Struthio camelus: one gene and its partners. The protein of the gene in region 3 interacts with the protein of the main gene of each other region in a biochemical or structural test. Links are inferred from orthologs where the notes say so. Each region holds a gene or a part of one and is shown on either strand. Other genes may lie near its edges. The genes, in order: SIAH2, KLHL15 and RBBP8.

Evidence for each region.
Region 1: the proteins of RBBP8 (region 3) and SIAH2 form a complex in vitro, tested with the Homo sapiens proteins (2 studies listed by BioGRID). The link is inferred for Struthio camelus from reciprocal best matches to the Homo sapiens genes RBBP8 and SIAH2.
Region 2: the proteins of RBBP8 (region 3) and KLHL15 form a complex in vitro, tested with the Homo sapiens proteins (2 studies listed by BioGRID, with this or other methods). The link is inferred for Struthio camelus from reciprocal best matches to the Homo sapiens genes RBBP8 and KLHL15.

The regions. Positions count from the first base shown.
Region 1 is NC_090950.1:33,747,005-33,752,692, reverse strand, and holds the start of SIAH2 (E3 ubiquitin-protein ligase SIAH2), read right to left. Parts: upstream 3,535-5,688; coding exon 3,118-3,534; intron 1-3,117. UniProt on the Homo sapiens protein: E3 ubiquitin-protein ligase that mediates ubiquitination and subsequent proteasomal degradation of target proteins.
Region 2 is NC_090942.1:135,263,708-135,269,395, reverse strand, and holds the start of KLHL15 (kelch-like protein 15), read right to left. Parts: upstream 3,819-5,688; 5' UTR 3,734-3,818; intron 3,159-3,733; exon of another isoform or gene 2,819-3,158; intron 1-2,818. Other genes in the region: EIF2S3 (eukaryotic translation initiation factor 2 subunit 3), read left to right, coding at 4,208-4,276. UniProt on the Homo sapiens protein: Substrate-specific adapter for CUL3 E3 ubiquitin-protein ligase complex.
Region 3 is NC_090943.1:120,912,966-120,918,653, forward strand, and holds the start of RBBP8 (DNA endonuclease RBBP8), read left to right. Parts: upstream 1-1,387; 5' UTR 1,388-1,562; intron 1,563-5,688. UniProt on the Homo sapiens protein: Endonuclease that cooperates with the MRE11-RAD50-NBN (MRN) complex in DNA-end resection, the first step of double-strand break (DSB) repair through the homologous recombination (HR) pathway.

The DNA of each region.
Region 1 (5,688 bases), on a different chromosome or scaffold from region 3:
CATACAAAGAAGCACAGAATAAATAATCTTAGATAATCTATTTCAGAAACCACCAAAACCCACCAGCAGCTCTCAGTCTCTCGAGGCAGGCTCAGAGCTGCCTGATCGCTGGGGCGTTCTTCGGTCGTTCCGAACTTACAACCTCGCCTGCATCCCTCCCTTTTCCGAGCCGCTGCTGATGCGGACCCAGCCGCTGCGTAGGTCTACACTTGCTTTAAAGAGCGTGACGTTAATCACAGAAGTAACACGTGGAGGAATTTTCAGAAATACAGTATTTTTACATGAACTAGTCTTTTTGTATTATTTATATTTAGAGAGTGCCCAACTGGAGAAGTGTTTACAACTGATATATGTGAACTGAAACTTGCCTGAAAGATGTAGTGATCTTTATTCAGATGTGGGTTTTTTTTTTTCTGGGGGGGGGGGGGGTGGTGTTTAAACCTACTTCTCTGCTGGTGCTTACTCCTCTGCCCATGGAGAAAGAAAACCTTAAGGCATGAACAAGCCAATACCCTCAATTAAGGGCTTAAGAAACCTTTCTGTTACCAACTGAATAAATTAAAGTCTGACAGTTCATGTTAGGAATGTCTTATCTTCCTATTTTTAAGGGAAAAAACTCTATAGCATAGTTTCCTTCTTTCTTGCACACTTTCTTTAACCATAAAGCAGCTGGGAAGAGCAGGTGTCCTGTCTGGCAGTTCCAGCGCTGGAGAGATTTGCATCCTGCATAGATCAGTATTGTATTTCAATGCAAGAAACAGAGGCTGTAAGGCTTTTGGTCAGAAGAGCTGTTCTAGTGTTGATGCACCAATTTCGTTAGGGCAACTAGGGAATACCAGCTGCCACAGATTAGACTGACAAGACACTTTAGAAACTGAAAACTAGGCCAGCGTTTCAGTTGGGGGGGGGGGGGGGGGGATGCACTGAATGTTTTTATTCCCTGAGGCTAAGGAGCAGTCACAGCTGGGCATCTGACTCCCTGAACTTCTTGCCATGTCCAGCATGAAGAAGGAGCAGTGTGTTAGTTCGACGCTCCGTCGGTTGTTACCATCGGGAGATTCACTGCCATTCACAAGCTGCACAGTGGAACAGGTCCTGTGCTATCAACAACGCAGTAAGAGGCCTGCAGCCCTCCCGCTCTGCCTTGTGACCGAGCCCGTCCTCGCGAGGTAGCTGCTCTAACCGCGGACAGCGCTTAAACTGCTGCATGAGTCAACACAGGTGGTTCACTCCGAGCATGAATCATTAGCTGCCGTGCATCGTCAGTGAGTCCAGGCTGCTCTTACGGCCTGCCTCGTCGCCGGTACGCGCAATTGAAGTCTACTTGCAGTTCTCACTTCAAAATCCTACCACGCGGCTGTCGGGGCCAGGCGTTTGCTGCTCGCCTTTCTGCCCGCTGCTCTCCCACCTTGCAACAACCAGCTGTGCGTTTTAAAAGCTTCCTCTCATATTCCACATCAGTGATGGTTTTAGCAATTCCCGTATCTGTCCCTTGCTCACTTCAGCCCTGTGGTTTTAAAGTGCTTTTGGTACGGCAGCACAAGCGTCTGGGGACTCCAGAAAGCCATGGGAAGGATCCACTCAGCATTATCTCTGTGCACCTCTCTGCCATCCTGATGAATGTCTATTAGGAAGGATATGAACTAGAACAGTTCACCTGGTCCTTTTAAGGAGAACTCACTTAAAAATACCTGAGACTTAAATATTTAATCTGAACACCTGAAATAGTGCTAAGACAGTCAGAACAGCCTTAAAAAAATTTCAGAGGTAATTATTGACCTGACGGCTTACCAGTCCCTGTCCCTCAAAGGAGGGCTGCAGAAAACTACCAAAGACACAGGGAGAGAATTTCTGCTCCCTCCAGCAAACCTTTTTTCAAAACTAAATATCAGCACAGATTAAAATATTTGAAGAAAACAAAAAAGGTTCTCGCCTTTGTAACGACCGACTGTGCTAAATACTCAGACAAGACTTTTTTTCCCCATTTCATTTTCCAGCAAGAAGCAGCGCGAGGAACTCTGAGGGTATCTTCAAGGAGAGCAGAGGTAGTGTTTTAAATAGAAGACCAAGAAATCATCACCACCTATAAGTGACAGCAGGTTCACTTGGCAGTTTGTTGGATGAATCTTAGAAAATTCCTCAGCCTTCTCATAAACTGTTAATATTTCTGGACCAAACTAGCAAAGGACACGAGACACAGCCTCGCCTGGGAAATCCTGTAGTAGTGGTGCTCCCCTCCTCCGTGCGTTACCTGTGCCATCGGATGCACTCACACCACAGCCACCCCGTATCACGCTCTTCCTTTCCCAGCTAGCTAACAGACTGTTGGAACTGACTGTTTAGCTTATGGTCCAAAACCAGATCATGTCGTCCTCTGACACGGAGAAAAAAAAAAAAAGGGACTTCAAGACAGCATTCATACCAAAACAGCCACGTGCCTAGGCTCTTCCCCTGTGCTCTCTGGGGGAACCTGACGGGACTGAGAGTTGAGAACGTCTCAGGTTTTATGCTGCCTCCTGCGCACAGCTGCAGCAGGAGCTAGTGGATTTCTGTCTCCGTTTGAACCACTCTGTGCACTAAATCCAGGATTTGTACTCCAGCGTTACGCACTACTACCCAGTTATGGGTCCTCGCCTAAGGGAGTTCCCATTGCCACGATGGGTGGGAAGAACATTGTGCTTGCATCGAAATGCATGCCGATTTTAGAACGTATGTTTCAGATTTGGTATAAAGTGCAACCTGCTGGTACATGGATGGAAACAGAACGACAGGATGGTTGGGGGTGGCAGGGACCTCTGGAGATCGTCTAGTCCAACCCCCTGCTCGAGCAGGGTCCTCCGGGGCACGTTGCCCGGGATCGCGCCCAGGCGGGTTTTGAGTATCTCGGGCGAAGGAGACCCCAGCACCTCCGAGGGCTGCGAGGCGGAGGGAGGTTTGGAAGAACAAGCGGGGGGACGGAAAGGAGGCGCACCAGGAGGCTTCGCAGCCTGCGCCGCGAGGGCGGCGGAGCGGCCCGGGGCTTGGCCGCTGGGCGGCAGCGGGCTGACAGCTCGGGGGAAGCCTCGGAGGGGAAGGAAGGAGCGAGGAAAAGCGCCTGGGCCGGGGCGGCGGCCTTACCTTGCAGGGGAAGAGCACGGCCGAGGCCACCTTCTCCATGGCCAGGTTGCGGATGCTGGGGCTGAGGGAGCCCCGGCAGGTGGGGCAGAGGCTCAGCTTCTGCCGGCATGGGTTGCACACCAGGTGGCCGGCCTGGCACTGCAGGATGGGCGGCAGCACGTAGTCGAAGCAGACGGGGCACTCGAAGAGCGAGGTCAGCTCGTGGTGCTGCGGCGACGCCGCCCCCCCCCCGCCGCCGCCCCCCCCGGACAGCACGGCCGCGGCGGCGGGCACCGCCGAGGAGCCGGCGCCGGCTGCCGCGATGGTGGCGGCGGCGGGGGGGGCGGCGGCGGCGGCGGGCGGCGGCGGGGGGGGGCCGTGCTGCTGCTTGCCGCAGGGCTTGCTAGCGCCGGGCCCGGCGGACGGCGGGCGGCTCATGGCGCGCCGCGGGCACCATGGGGGCGCGGCGGCGGCGGCCGGAGCGCGGGGCTGACGCAAGAGCGCGGGGCGGGGCGGGGCGGGGCGGGGCTGACGCAAGAGCGCGGGGCGGCGCGGGGCGGGGCGGGGCGGAGCTGACACAAGAGCGCGGGGCGGGGCGGGGCGGGGCGGGGCTGACGCAAGAGCGCGGGGCGGGGCTGACGCAAGAGCGCGGGGCGGGGCGGGGCGGGGCGGGCGCGGGGCGGGGCGGGGCTGACACAAGAGCGCGGGGCGGGGCTGACGCAAGGGGGCGGGGCGGGGCGGGGCGGGGCGGGGCGGGCGCGGCCTCAGCGCCGCCGCCTACGGAGCATGCCCGGCCGGCGGGGGCGTTTCGCGCCGCGAGGGGAAGGCGGTTGGCGGAGGCGCTTTCCGCTGGCCCCGTAGCGCTGGCGGGGCAAGGCGCTGCAGCCCCAGGACAGGAGTCCTGCAGAGCCCCTTCCTTCCTCTGAGGAAAAGAGGGCGGCTGGGCGGCGGAGCGCAGCGCCGCTGCTGGCCCTGGCGACGGCCCGGCCGGGTGAGGAGCGGCGCGGATACCTGGTGCGGTGCCCCCGCAGCCGGGCCGCGGCTGGCGTCGAGCGCTGCAGCGCCAGCCCGTTTCCCCGTCAGCAAAACGAGCAAGGGTTTCCTGCCGACGTTACTGCCCCGAGGGCGCGCCTCGCGGCTTGGCGGCCTTGTCCCGGAGCGAGCAGCGCGTCGCCGTAACGCTGCTGTTCGCACAGGCCCCTCTGGCTCTCCGCTCCAGGCCTGGCCGAGCGCCTCGCTAAGGGACTAGATGTGCTGCGCTTCCGTTGAAAGAAGGTGCCTCGGTAACCGAAGTCTTGTTTTTCTCATGCCCTTTGCTGAGTTCCGCTGAATCGGGTGACACAGCCCAGTCAACAAAGTCTTCGGCATACGTTTCTGGTAACGGGGTTTTCTTGAGTATTGTGAGAAATCATACAATAATGCAGAACGCATTCATGTGCAATGAAAAGGTCTTGCACTTTCCGAGACACAAATCAACAAGACCTTAGGGTGAAACTCAGCAGGGAAGTCCCCAAAGGTGCAAGCGGGAGATGTGACCTGAATTCTTGCTGAAATTTATTAGGAACTAATTATTTCACTGAGTGAAGCTTGTGAAAACCTTGCCACACTGCTGCTGCCGCGTCCCCCCTTCTCAGGGGAAGTTCCTCTGATCAGAATATCATCGCACTGTTGGTACAGTCTCACATCCGGAGGGAGGGAGACTGTCTGTAAAAAGTCCAGCAAGTGCGGCATGAGCAATCATGGGTGAAAGTTTACGCCCCTGCGGGAGTCTGCTGAAGGTATGTTTTGTTCCCTCCCACGTGAAAGCGAGCCTCTGTTTGCCCTCCTCCCGCGAGGGGACCGTGAAGGACATGTCTTCCGCGTCTAGCGCCGCCATCCATGGGTGTGCAGCCGCTCGCACGGCGCCTGTGAAGTCTGCAGCGTTTGGTACAGCAGCTGGTAGCGGGGCTCTGGTAGCGCTCAGGCGCCCGTAATCAATTGTCAAACGCCACCTCCCGTCTGGTTTCCGAACTGGCCAGACCGGTGGGTTATATGGGCAGTGGCTTCTGGAGATAACCTGACCTTTCTGCAAACCAGCTCTGACTTCAGCAGTTCCATTTCGTGCCGCAGCAGAAAAACTTCACAAATGGTCCTTGAGGACCAGCTGGAATCAAAATACATGGGCCATCATCAAGCCTCCGCTTGCTGGACAGGCAGACCCAGCTGCCTTCGGGGCATTACTCGTCGTGGGGCTTCATGCCCTGCAATTCCCCCCTGCGGGGGAGGAAGGGGTTGTTTCCCTCTCTGGGAGCTGGCGCTGGAGAAGTCAAAGCACGCTCCCCTCTTTGGCCGTTATCTCGTTTCTGGGAAGCGTCCATCAGGCTCGAGATAAGGCCAGTAGGCCGACCTCGGATCGCGGCTCGGGGGACGCCTGGGGCTGAGGCTTTCCTCCACAGTCGTTTCTCCGTTCTCGAGAGTCTGTTCGCAGGTCCTGAGGCTTGTTTCCCTTTGACTTGGTTTCTGTTCCCTGTGGGGGTGCCTGTATCGCTGGTCTCGCCCTATGATCTCTTCCCCGGCGCTTCAGGTTTGGTTTTTCGGCTGTTGGATGGTCCC
Region 2 (5,688 bases), on a different chromosome or scaffold from region 3:
CCTTCAGTTTCCAAGCCCGGTCCCGGTTTTGCAGAGGTCTCGTTTATCATCAGTTTTCCTCCTCTCCGTTTTCTTGGGCAGCAGCACAAGATGTTGCACAGAAACGCGCCCCGACCGACGACAACCCCTTTCAGGAGCTTGTTGAACTCCCTCCCCTGACAGCTGGCCACCCTCGGGTGCTGCGGGCTGACCCTACAGCTGTCTTCTTGCCACAGTGAGAATCGGGTCACCAGAGCCACAGGCCCTGCTTGCTAGCATAGCTGCCCTGGGGCAGCAAACTGCGCGTAGCTGACAGGAAACCGCGGCCCAGCAGGGGATGAGCAGGTTTCTGCCCTAGCCCAAACTTCACCTCCTTGCTTTCTGCAGCTTGCCCTTGCCCAGCAATCAGTGACTTCAGTGCAAGAAGGAAAAACAGCCAACACTTCCCACCCATGTAATGACAGCGCGCTAAACTGTGTCGACCATTGGTCTGCCACTGCCACCCCCAAACCATTCACTACCTGCTACTGTACCTCTCCCATCACCTTCTATCTCACTTGCTGCCTTTAATAACAGGCCACACGCTGCCATCCTCTCTGTTTATTGCTGTTCCCATCCCTTTCACTATCTATTTTCAGTCTCTCATTACCACCCCCATCCCATTCTTGATTTATGACACAAGAACATAACTGCTCTGTAACTGCCACCCCCAATCTGAATGCCCTTCCCACCTTTCATAGCTCCACAACCAACCAGCTATGCCGTGCACTGCTTCACAGAAGACTTCCCACTGCTATTCCCACTCTGCTAACTGACCTCCTACTGCTCCCTCACGGCCTACTTAGGCCACACTACAATCAGCCGGCTCCCATTCACTCCATCATACCAACAACCTGACCTCTCTCTACTCAGCTAACTTCATACCATTCCATCTCGTGCCCTAACTCATGCAGTAAATTTGCCCCGTTTCCCCGGTCACTGCTTCAAAACCTGTTACTAATGCAGTTATGGTTAAACAAACTAACGTTTATCTATTGACTCTCTCCAAGAGAGCTACTGTTGCTGCCCTCTAAGTCTTACAGAGAAAAGACATTCTCATCCTTAGTCATAGGATATATGTCCTCTGCTGTTCCAACCACATACCCACTCATAGCACACTCATGCTTCAGTAAAGAAAAATTGGAGTAGGAAATAAATATTTTGTACAGAAATGATACAACATGAACAACTTTCTGCTCTCTTCAGACTTTTCACCTTCATAGGTCAGTTAAAGGTGGAAAGAGCTAGCAGGACTGTTTTGGTTTCAGCTGTCATTTTGCTGTTGGCAGTTTGTGGCCGGCCGACGTATAAGACGATCTTTAGGTCTCCCATACACTGCCACAGAAGACAACCTCAAACCAAGCCAAACTGCCTCCTGACAGCTTTGACATACTCACTGTCAACATAAAAAAGCACAACAAAACAAACCTCCTTCTCCTTCACATTAGACAATTTGCTTCTAATGAAAAAATCAAAATGCGTTAATAATGCCTCAATTTTAATCTCCTAACTAAAAACGTTATTAACTTTGAGCCCCAGCCAACGACCACTGGTGTCAGTATTACCTTAATGAGCATTAATGCAAATGGAGATTTGGATGGAAACCTCTCATTTAGGCATCTGTACAATCTCGGTTGCTAAGTAGTTCCCACTGACATAAATGAGACTATTACCATAAAATTATGCACTTGAGTGTTTGAGCTATATTAGTACACTAGTTGCCATTTCATTTGTGTAGTTTTAAACCTTATTTATTTTATATGTATAGGTGTATGAGTAATACACTTGACAGTTCCTAAAAACGTGAGGTTTTATCCTGTTTTATTAGACATTTGCCAGTCTTTAGACTTTTCTGGTTTTTTCTTCATATTAGGAGAACTCAAAAATGGAGTGAATCAAAGTAAGACCATCTCAGAATATGTGAAATGTATAATTTTATTTTTAAAGTAGGAGAAACGGTTTGTGTACTTTTTCAGATGCCTAACATCTCTTGGCAAGGATTAAATCATTTATAAAGGCTATTGCAAATGTGACAAAAACTGCTTCTATAATTTTATATTGCACTGTGCTGTTGTATAATTTACACAGCTAAATAAGTACAGAGCCTGGTATTTTCAGCTCATTTTCACAAAACAGTGATTATACATGCCTAGAAGTCCAGGCAACTATAACCAAGTATTGCATCATGCTCCCATCATACTTTGTGTACCTCAGTCATAAGCATCTACTCTTTTTCCTAGAAGTGGGATAATTTATTGAAAATTGTAATACATCATCTAGCCTGAAAAAGACTAGATACAAATTTTTTAATTTTACATTTTGTATATAATTTTATAGTTTTTTATTTCATGTATTTTGGATTTATAGTAGATTTATATTCATTTTTGGTCAATTTGTGCAGAACTATTGTGTTGCAGGACAAAACAGAGTTTATCACTGGCAACATCACTGCATCCACTGTAAGGTTTCTTGCTACATTCGCATATTCATTTCTTCAAAACAAGAATGCTGCCAATGCACTTGCTCTAGGTTTTTTGGAGTAAAACTCACGTCTGAATCTTGTTTCAGGAAAGAAATGGAAATATTAGGATTTGTGAAAGTGGGAGGTTACAAGCATTTTTAAGCCAGGCATACCAGTTTTGTACAGATTTCCATCATCACACTTCAGTCACGTTGTCGGGTATTCCAAACCTATTTTTGTCACCCAGTTAGCCAGGCAATATCCGAGTACCTTCACATTTTTCAGTAGGCAAAGACACTGCTGATGAACATGGATGTATTTGACACAACGGTTACTTACATTGAAACCTGTTTCTCTGAGATCATAGAAGAAATCCTACTAGGAGCAATAGCCTCTATGCCTGTAAGAAGAGGTTTCCATGAAGGAGACAGTTTGAGTTTCCAAGTGGAAGGGCTAGGAATTTGGCCGTTATCTCATAGTCTCTGTTAAACTTCCAAGCTGGCTGTCATCACTGCACCAGGGATTTTATTTGAATTTTAAAGCACTTATGTTGTGCCCAAATCTGAAAACAGCATGCATGTGGTGGGGGTTTTAGTTGTCTGGTATGAAAGATTCGAGCTGTTCATTCTTGGGGCAGGGTCTTATGTCCATATGTTCTCTATACCACTAAGCACTGAGCCTACAAAAGACAGCAAGAAGAAGAAGGTTGACATTCAAAATCTTGTTAGGCAGATGGCCAGCAAAGATTACTAACATTTGTATAGTGACATTTTACCGTAAAAACACAAACACAAATGCTCTGACATCAAATTAGGTGTTCTCTTTTCTAGTGCATACAAACACATCTGGTTGTCATTTTCACCCTTATCCTCTTTTCTGCCTCATGCCCATTTACTGTGCTAGATAAACCTGCATTTTCTTGCTGTTGCATATGCATCAACAAAAGCTGATCCTCACTGCCATCCATAACCACAGAAAGAAACTCATTCTTTTGGTACAGCTCTCAGCAAAACCAGCCCCCATCTTGATTACAGCATCGAAGCGACTACATTTTAGGTATTACATACCGCAATAATATAAAATAACAGCGGGGCCCAGGCAGCCTGCAGTTCTAAAGACAAGAGACAACCCCTTTTCAACAGAAATACTTAAAACACGCTAATTTATGAGGCGTTTGTCACTGCCACAGGAACGCGAGGCTGCGTGTAAGACCAAGCACAAACCGTCCCTGACGGTACGTCTGAAGGAGCTCACCTCTCGCCATCCCCCCTCCCTCTCTTCAGCGCCTCCGCCCGCGCAACGGCCCCGTCGCCCCGGGCTCACGACCGTTCCCTGAAGATGGGGGGGGGAGGGGCGGCGGGCGCGCACTGCGCACGCGCGCCGCGGCCCCGCCCCGCTGCCCGCCACCCGCGCGCGCACGCGCACGGCCCCCGCCCGGCTCGCGGCGCTGGCGCACGCGGAGCGGCGCCTGCCGCAGGCCCGGTTGCATCACCCCGGCGCGAGGCAGACGCGGGGTCCTTCCCGGGGCTGCCCCGCCGCGCGCCTGAGCCGCTCCCGCCCCGCGGCGTGCCTGGCGGCGGCCCCGCGCCGCTCCGCGAGGCGGCGGCCCGAGCCGAGCGCCTCGGTACCGCCGGGCGGGCGGCGGGCGGGGCGCGGGCGGCGGCGGCGCCGAGCCCCGCCGGGGGTCAGGCGGCCGCCGCGGGCTCCTCGCTTCCTCTTCGGGCAAAGATGGCGGGGGATGAGGCGGGAGTGACTCTGGGGCAGCCGCACCTCTCCCGGCAGGACCTCGCCACCTTGGTGAGGGGGGCGCGGCGGCGGGCGGCGGGGCCGCCGGCACGCGGAGGCTGAAGGGATGCGGGCTCCCCCGCCCCCGGGCCGGGCGGCCGTTGGGGGCCGCCGGCTGGCAGGGCGGCGGGGCCGGGGAGGGGGCGCGGGGCCGGGCGGCGCTCCGGGCCGGCCGCGGGAGCCGGTCAGGCTGGGCGGGGCGGGCGGGATGGGGCCCCTGGCTCGCTGGAGCCGTGAGAGGAGAGCGGAGCTCGGTGGGCTTGCCTCCCGGCTCCCTCGGCAGGGGAGGCCTTCGTGTGGCGACGGTGGGGGACGTGCCGCGCCCTCCTCCTCAAAGGCTGCTTTGCCCGAAGGAGAATTGCGCTTTGGTTTTCTCTTCTCCGAGGGGGCTAGGCAGTTTGCTTGCCTGCGCCGTCTGGGTTGGTCTTTGTGTGCTCCGCAAAGACCACCAGGAAATCAGTCGCAGAGGGTCTCTCGCTGTGGTCGGCTCGCCGAATAGATGCCTAGCCGCGGCTGTCTCACTTTCTTCATGTACGCAGGCAGAGCCAGTCAGAAGTCCCACTGGTTGCTGTCTCCCTGGTTTTCAGCAAATTAGGGGTTATTTTTGTCTTTACAGTGTTAACGTTTCTGAGCACAGGAGTTTTCTCCGTGTTGTACGTAAGCATGTTGATACTCAGGAGTGAAGCATGTTAATTGTTTCAGAAGGTTCCTTTACTCGCTTCCTTTTCTGGTTGGCCTTGGTATTTGCCAACTGGAAAAAGAGCAGACGTGCTTAACTGGGAGGTCAGTATGAATTATGCTTAAGCCCTGTCCTGTATTAATTTCATTTGGCTGTTGAGTGCTCGCATTTGGCTGGAGCTTATAGCCAAACTTAACCTTATACTAGTCTTGAGGGAAAAAAATGCATACGTACGTAATTGTGTGCTGGGAGCAGCTCTGTTGATGACAGGTTTTGCGTCATGCGTATATGCATGTCATCCTACTATATAGTGCCGTCTGCAGGTCACGTCCCCCCTTCTGACTTCAGTAGATCTAGTCATGTTAAGTTGGGTGTACAAGAAGTATATATTCAAGCGCCTCTGTTAAATGAACAAAACTTGTTTATCTGTTGAACCTGAATACTAAGTTCATGTAATTCCTGAAAATAAGCTAAAATACAATGAGTGAAATTCATGAAAATGTAATGGGTAGAATGAACTTGCTCATTATAGGCCTGAACTTAGCCTTAACTGCATAAGATTGTATTTCATCACTGTGCACAGAATCTGTCTGTATGACAGTGTAGACAGTATATGATTCTGTGCCAATTAGTGTGTATGCACGTGTACTGTATGCATCTTCACAAAGTATTTGTGTGACGTCCTGCACTGAGAACTGTTCTGGCATTGTGGATCTTTGCTTGAACTCAGCAGCCCACCCACATG
Region 3 (5,688 bases):
TTTCCTGTAGTAAAATAGTCTGAATACAGCATACGCAGATATTAGTGTTTCTTCTGTTAGCTTTTCTGGTCAATGATGAAAAACCACTCATTATGTTGCACAAGGCTGGTTAAAGTGGACGCTAAGTTCCTGTTCTGACCACTAGTCATCTAGTAGCTATTATTAAAATGGATAAATAAGACATGAAGATCAAAAGAAGGATAGATGATACCACAGTGGGATTGCTTAACGAACAAACACAACTTTCTAAAGTTAGTCAGTCTTAGACAATACTGAACGGAGCTAATCTTTTCTAAGCCTGAGTGTTTAAATTTAGGTGGCTAAATAAAAGCTAAAGGAACCTAAGCATAGATTTAGCAGGCTAGTTTTATGCACTTTTCCAAAAGTGCTAAACATCCACAGCTCCTACTGATTTTAGTCAATAACCCCAACAATCACAGCATGAGAGCTGAAAATTATGGTCTATATTTGTATTTGAAAGAAAGCAGTAAGTTTATACAGATGCAGGATTCTGTTGGGGCAGAGATCCTGATCTCTGTCTACACCTTGAATAAATATGCTATAGGCAGGACTGATGTGCAAGTATTCTTGCCCCCCAGACATGAGTAAGAAGCAGCGCAGCTGCTGCTGCAACCCATGTGCTAGGGCAGCTGCTGTATCCTTCACAGGAGGAGAGCACTGCTTCACAAGCAGTTCATGGTTATGGAAGCATGTCCCGTATACTCCATATTCTCTGACCCGTTTCACGTTCAAATATCCTGTGTGGTAATGCAGTAATGCCGGGCAAGATTACACTGGCTGTCTCCCCACATGTAACAAAGCTATGCGATATCCTATACACAGGGTATTCTCTCACACTTATAGGAGGACTGGCACTTAATTTTTCTCTTAGCTAATTGCACTAAACATTTGGGGTTATCTGATTTTAAGAAGTCTGCATGATTAGTGATATATAAAAAAAGACATTTTTTGTTCCCATTTCCCTCTGCATTTATGCTGAGCAAGACCTCTAGCCCAGTGCATCTGCATATAAAATGAAAGAAAGCTTATAACAATAAGATCTTGCTATACTTAACAAGGATATATCACTCCCCCACCCCTTGGTAAATTATTTTGCTGGAGGCTACATCATTCTATCTGAGTAGTATGTTGAGAGTTGACAAAGGCATGAATAATTCACCGCGTATGAAGCCTTCCTTGAGCTGAGCTGAGCTGAGCTGCAGCATGTTGGGCTGGCCTTTGATGCAGACTGGTTGGGCAGGTTCCCGGGCGCCCGGGGAACCGGTCTGACAGGCCTGTTATGCCAACAAATTCTGGTATGATTCCATGCTCTCCAGAATGCAGAAACCTGCCCAGCCAGTTAAATGAAAGGCATATTAGGTTATCCATTGCACATTGTATATATCTTAGGTGCAGCAGATCTCCTCTCGGCACTCTCTAGTGTGGTCCACAGTGGCTTCCTCATCTTACTTACACTTGAGGTTTATAGCTGGAGGGGAAGTCAATAGTAAATATTTATCACCCCGATCAAGAACAGAACTTTTCACAATTCAAACAGAAGGGTGAGTTTTGAAAGTCTTTCTTTAAAATTAACTTAAGATAAACTAAAGCAAAAATTTTATTCTATGCTTGAAGTGGGAGAATGGCTATCTCCTTAATGTGTCTGGGTACTGCCAGCCTCTGTGGCGCTTGTTGACATTTTTGCGACTGCAGCTTTTGACCATTCTGCACGCAGCTCAACATCATCTGCTCTGTCTTCAAGAATATTTACTGGAGAGACAGTTTAATGAACTCAGCACAGGAGTGTGAGATGGAAACTCCACTGCCAATGACTTAGTATTTTGAGTTGGTCAGTTAAGTTAGCTTATCCTTCTCGGTCTTCTCTTTTATAGTGTTTTTTATAATCCCATAATAGCACTGCTGTGAAAAAGCACAGTGCCATTACAGTAATATGTGTGATAACTAATACTTGCTGGACCAACATTTTTTTTTTTAATTGTGTAGTTTTATGGAGTGGGTTAACTAAACTCGATTTACATTTTCAAAATTGACTTAACAGCAATATAGGAAATGTATTTGTCATTCTTAACTGCTTTCTTTCTATATATTTATTAGAAACTTCCTGTTTAGAATGTAATAAGTAACGGTGGTAGCAATTATAATAAAAAAGAGTCTTAATCCAAAAGAGCAGGCAGCCCTGAAAGTTGTACCTGGATCTGCAACTGAAACCATTCACAGGTACAGTGTCAAAAAAGAAAAATTAAACAGTGTGAAAACAAAAGCTGTGGAATCTGGTAACTGATTAACTACTGCAGCACAGAAGTACTTGCTGAGCTGAATAGAAAGGAATGAAGACAGGTTTTGTCATGCCTGTTAGGACAAAATAACTCTTTAACTGAAGTAAATCTGAATCTTCTCACCCTCTGTGTAACTACGTTCTTGAAAACTCATATAGCCGCTTCCATCTCCCTGGAAATGTTATTTTAGTCTCTCTTTAAGTGACACAATCACAGTTCTCTTTCATGAGGTAAAAAAATAATTCCTGCCCTAGTGGACATAAACCACTAGATACGTGTAGATATATGCAAGATTATGTAAGAATTTATGGAAGTCACACAACAGGAAGCTTCAATTATGGAGGTGTTTACTGCCTGCTATTTCCAGGTTGATGCAAAAATGAACATTATTATTCTTTTGTAGATTGCCAATAAAAAGGCCTCCTGAGCAGCTTAAAAAAATGAATGAGAGACTGAAATGACCTTCTTGCTGGCTGCACTTTATCTGTTAGTTAAAACCGTTCTTCAAAGTGTAAAAGAATGGAAAACAACACAGGGGAAGTCTTGCGCTCTCACAGAGGCTAAAAATATGCATCAGGAAAAAGCATTTAATTCTTAGCATCTCTGTTGATTTTACTATCAAATATGGGATTAAAATTTACTTAGACTAAGGAATACACCATTCTCAAAAGGAAAAACTGTAAGTGGCTGAACTGTATGGTTTGACCAGGGACACTCTGTAGAGACCATAAAATGCTCCGAGAGAGCTCTCTTTGCTAAAGCTATAGAATTGGAACACTGTACAATTTTTAAAATTCAAATGAAATACATCATTTTTTAAAATACTGCTTGCCACCCTCTGCCTTAGCAATTTTTGTGCTCCATTTTATTTGGGTTCTTGCCTGATTGCTTTTTCTTTGGGGCAGAGGCCATTGTTTAGGGATTTTTTTCCCCAAAAGGTAAAGGTAAGTAAAATACCATTTCCCAACTGCTATTCTGTTTTGCTTGTTCTCCCGTTCTGAATTCTTGTCGCTCGCTATAGCAAGAAGTAGGTGGCATGATATACAGATGTGCAAATTTTTACTTCAGTCTTCCAAGCCTGAAATAGACTTCCAAGGCTAATATAAATAGGCATAACTACTCAGCCTATTCATATAAACCCAAGTAATATTGGTAAGAGCAAACCATTTCAGTCTGTAGCTAACATAAACAGGCGCTGCTCCTTAGAATCTACCGTCCTTGGAGGACCAGGAACGCTACACTGAAGTCCTGAAACAGCATCCCTCGGGTTGCTTTTTTCCCCTCCATCAAGCCTCTCTAAAGGACCTGAGAGTTCCAGCCAAGCAAATCCCAGCTGTTTCAGACTACAGATGAGGAGCGGTGTAAGCACTTCAAAGAAAAGGGTTCCTTACAGTGAACAATGTTATTGGCATCAGGGAATTTGCCCTTGGCTTGAGTTCAAAAGTGGCTATGCAAGTTGCTTGAGAAGACTCAAATTCAACTCGTGGGGGTGATGGAGTAGCTCCTCCCTATTCTTCCGGAAAAAGCAAATGCTATCAGTGCCAGACAGATTGTGTGCTGTGTGCTCTCCCAGTTTTAAGAAATGATACCATTCAGAGGACTGCCACTTTCTACACTCCTAGTTGAAATTCCACGTAGGTAGCTGCTGAAACGTGTTGCATGCTCTCACTCACTACATATGAAGCTGGGCTCATGTGATGTCCTTAGTGGCAGCTACAACATGAAGTTCATGAAATGAACATTCCTAGAGATTAATCAATATATTTATCTCTCAATGCAGATCCTGCATGACAGGGAGGTTGTGAACACACTGGCATGTACATATATGTGCAATCTGCTATATGTTATGTGAATAAATAAGGGTTTCACTATTACATATATATGCAGGAAAAGAGCAATTTATTTATCATTGTGTAAGTACAATGATAATTGCCATTCAAAGCTGGCTTTAATCTTCGCATCTAAATTTAAGGTAGTAGCAGCAAAAAAATTCAAGCTATCCACTATTCTCTTTTAAAGCTACTTTGTTTGTACTTACCGTTATCTGACTGGTTAGAAACACTAATGCAGCCTCTGCGCTACCAAAAAAAAGGGGGGGGGGTTATTTTATCTGTGCAACACTGCAGTACTCTTACAAAATAAATTCAATCAGTAGCTGATTTGCTAGCAAATGGTCCAGTCGCCAAGAAGGTATTACCATTAAACTGTAACTGACAGTCAACAGCTTCATATACTACTAGTAAGGCTAAACGTTTTAGGCATTAGGGTCTAAAATGGGCTGGGATTACATTATACTCCCTTTTCTGTTTCAGAGTTGTTCATAGATATGTATTCTGTTATCCAGTTTGATGTGCCATATTAAGGGTTACTTTGAAATCTGGACACCAGCCATGATTCCACAGGAACTTTTGTATCTGCTCAAGTGCTAAAATGACAAAGTCTTTTTTTCCCACAGTTTTATTGTCTAGGTGTGGGTGTTTACTCTTATGAGATGAATGAGATGCAGTTCCAGTTAGACTAGTCAGCTTAAACATCCAATATACTGAATGTGGAATATCAGACTCTTCAGAAGTTTGCTAGCACGTTTAGTGAGCCAGGGATCCATTCAGTAACTTGTGGTCAGGTATGTGATTATGGAACACATTTTTCTACATAAAATCAAGTAAATCTGGAAAGGAGATAAGGGTAAAGTTCAACTGTTGGTCTTATTCTGCATTCACTTATTGACAGTAAATTAGGATAAACTGCAGAAGTCAGTGGAGATATACTGCTGTAAATTTCAACATGGGAGAACTACATCCATTCAGATTATTTGGACAGAAGACACAGTTATTTTCTAGAGTGCTTCTTAGAAATAAAAAGAAGGGTCCAGTTCATGGCAGAATGACTGACCAATCAGCAAGAAGATAACTTTACTGCTACTTTTCTGGTCTGTGTGTATATTTAAATACATGTTTATCTTAAGTCTGAGGAAATGATCACTCTCTGACATTACTAACTTTTAGATTATAGAAAATTCAAAAGTAGAATAAAAAAAGCAGGGAACAAGACAGTTCTTGCAGACACTATTTAAGAATATTGGCATGTCTATCGAAACCTATTAGGGAAGTTTCTTCCATAAGATGTAGTTAATTTTAGTTCTTTTGCACATGTTCTGATGTGAAAATGGGCCAGTCTATGATGGAAGTAAGCTGCTGCTCAGGTATTGAACACTGGATTTGTTTTAGCAGAAAAGTAATTGATTAAACAATAGTGAGGAATGAGAAAGTAAGTTAACTATAAGATTTGTCGAAACACTGAAGATCAAGGTATACAACTAACTGGAAACTGAAGTTATTTTCAACAAAGTTGGAACAACAGATTTTAAGTCTGCTTAATCATGAGTGAGCTT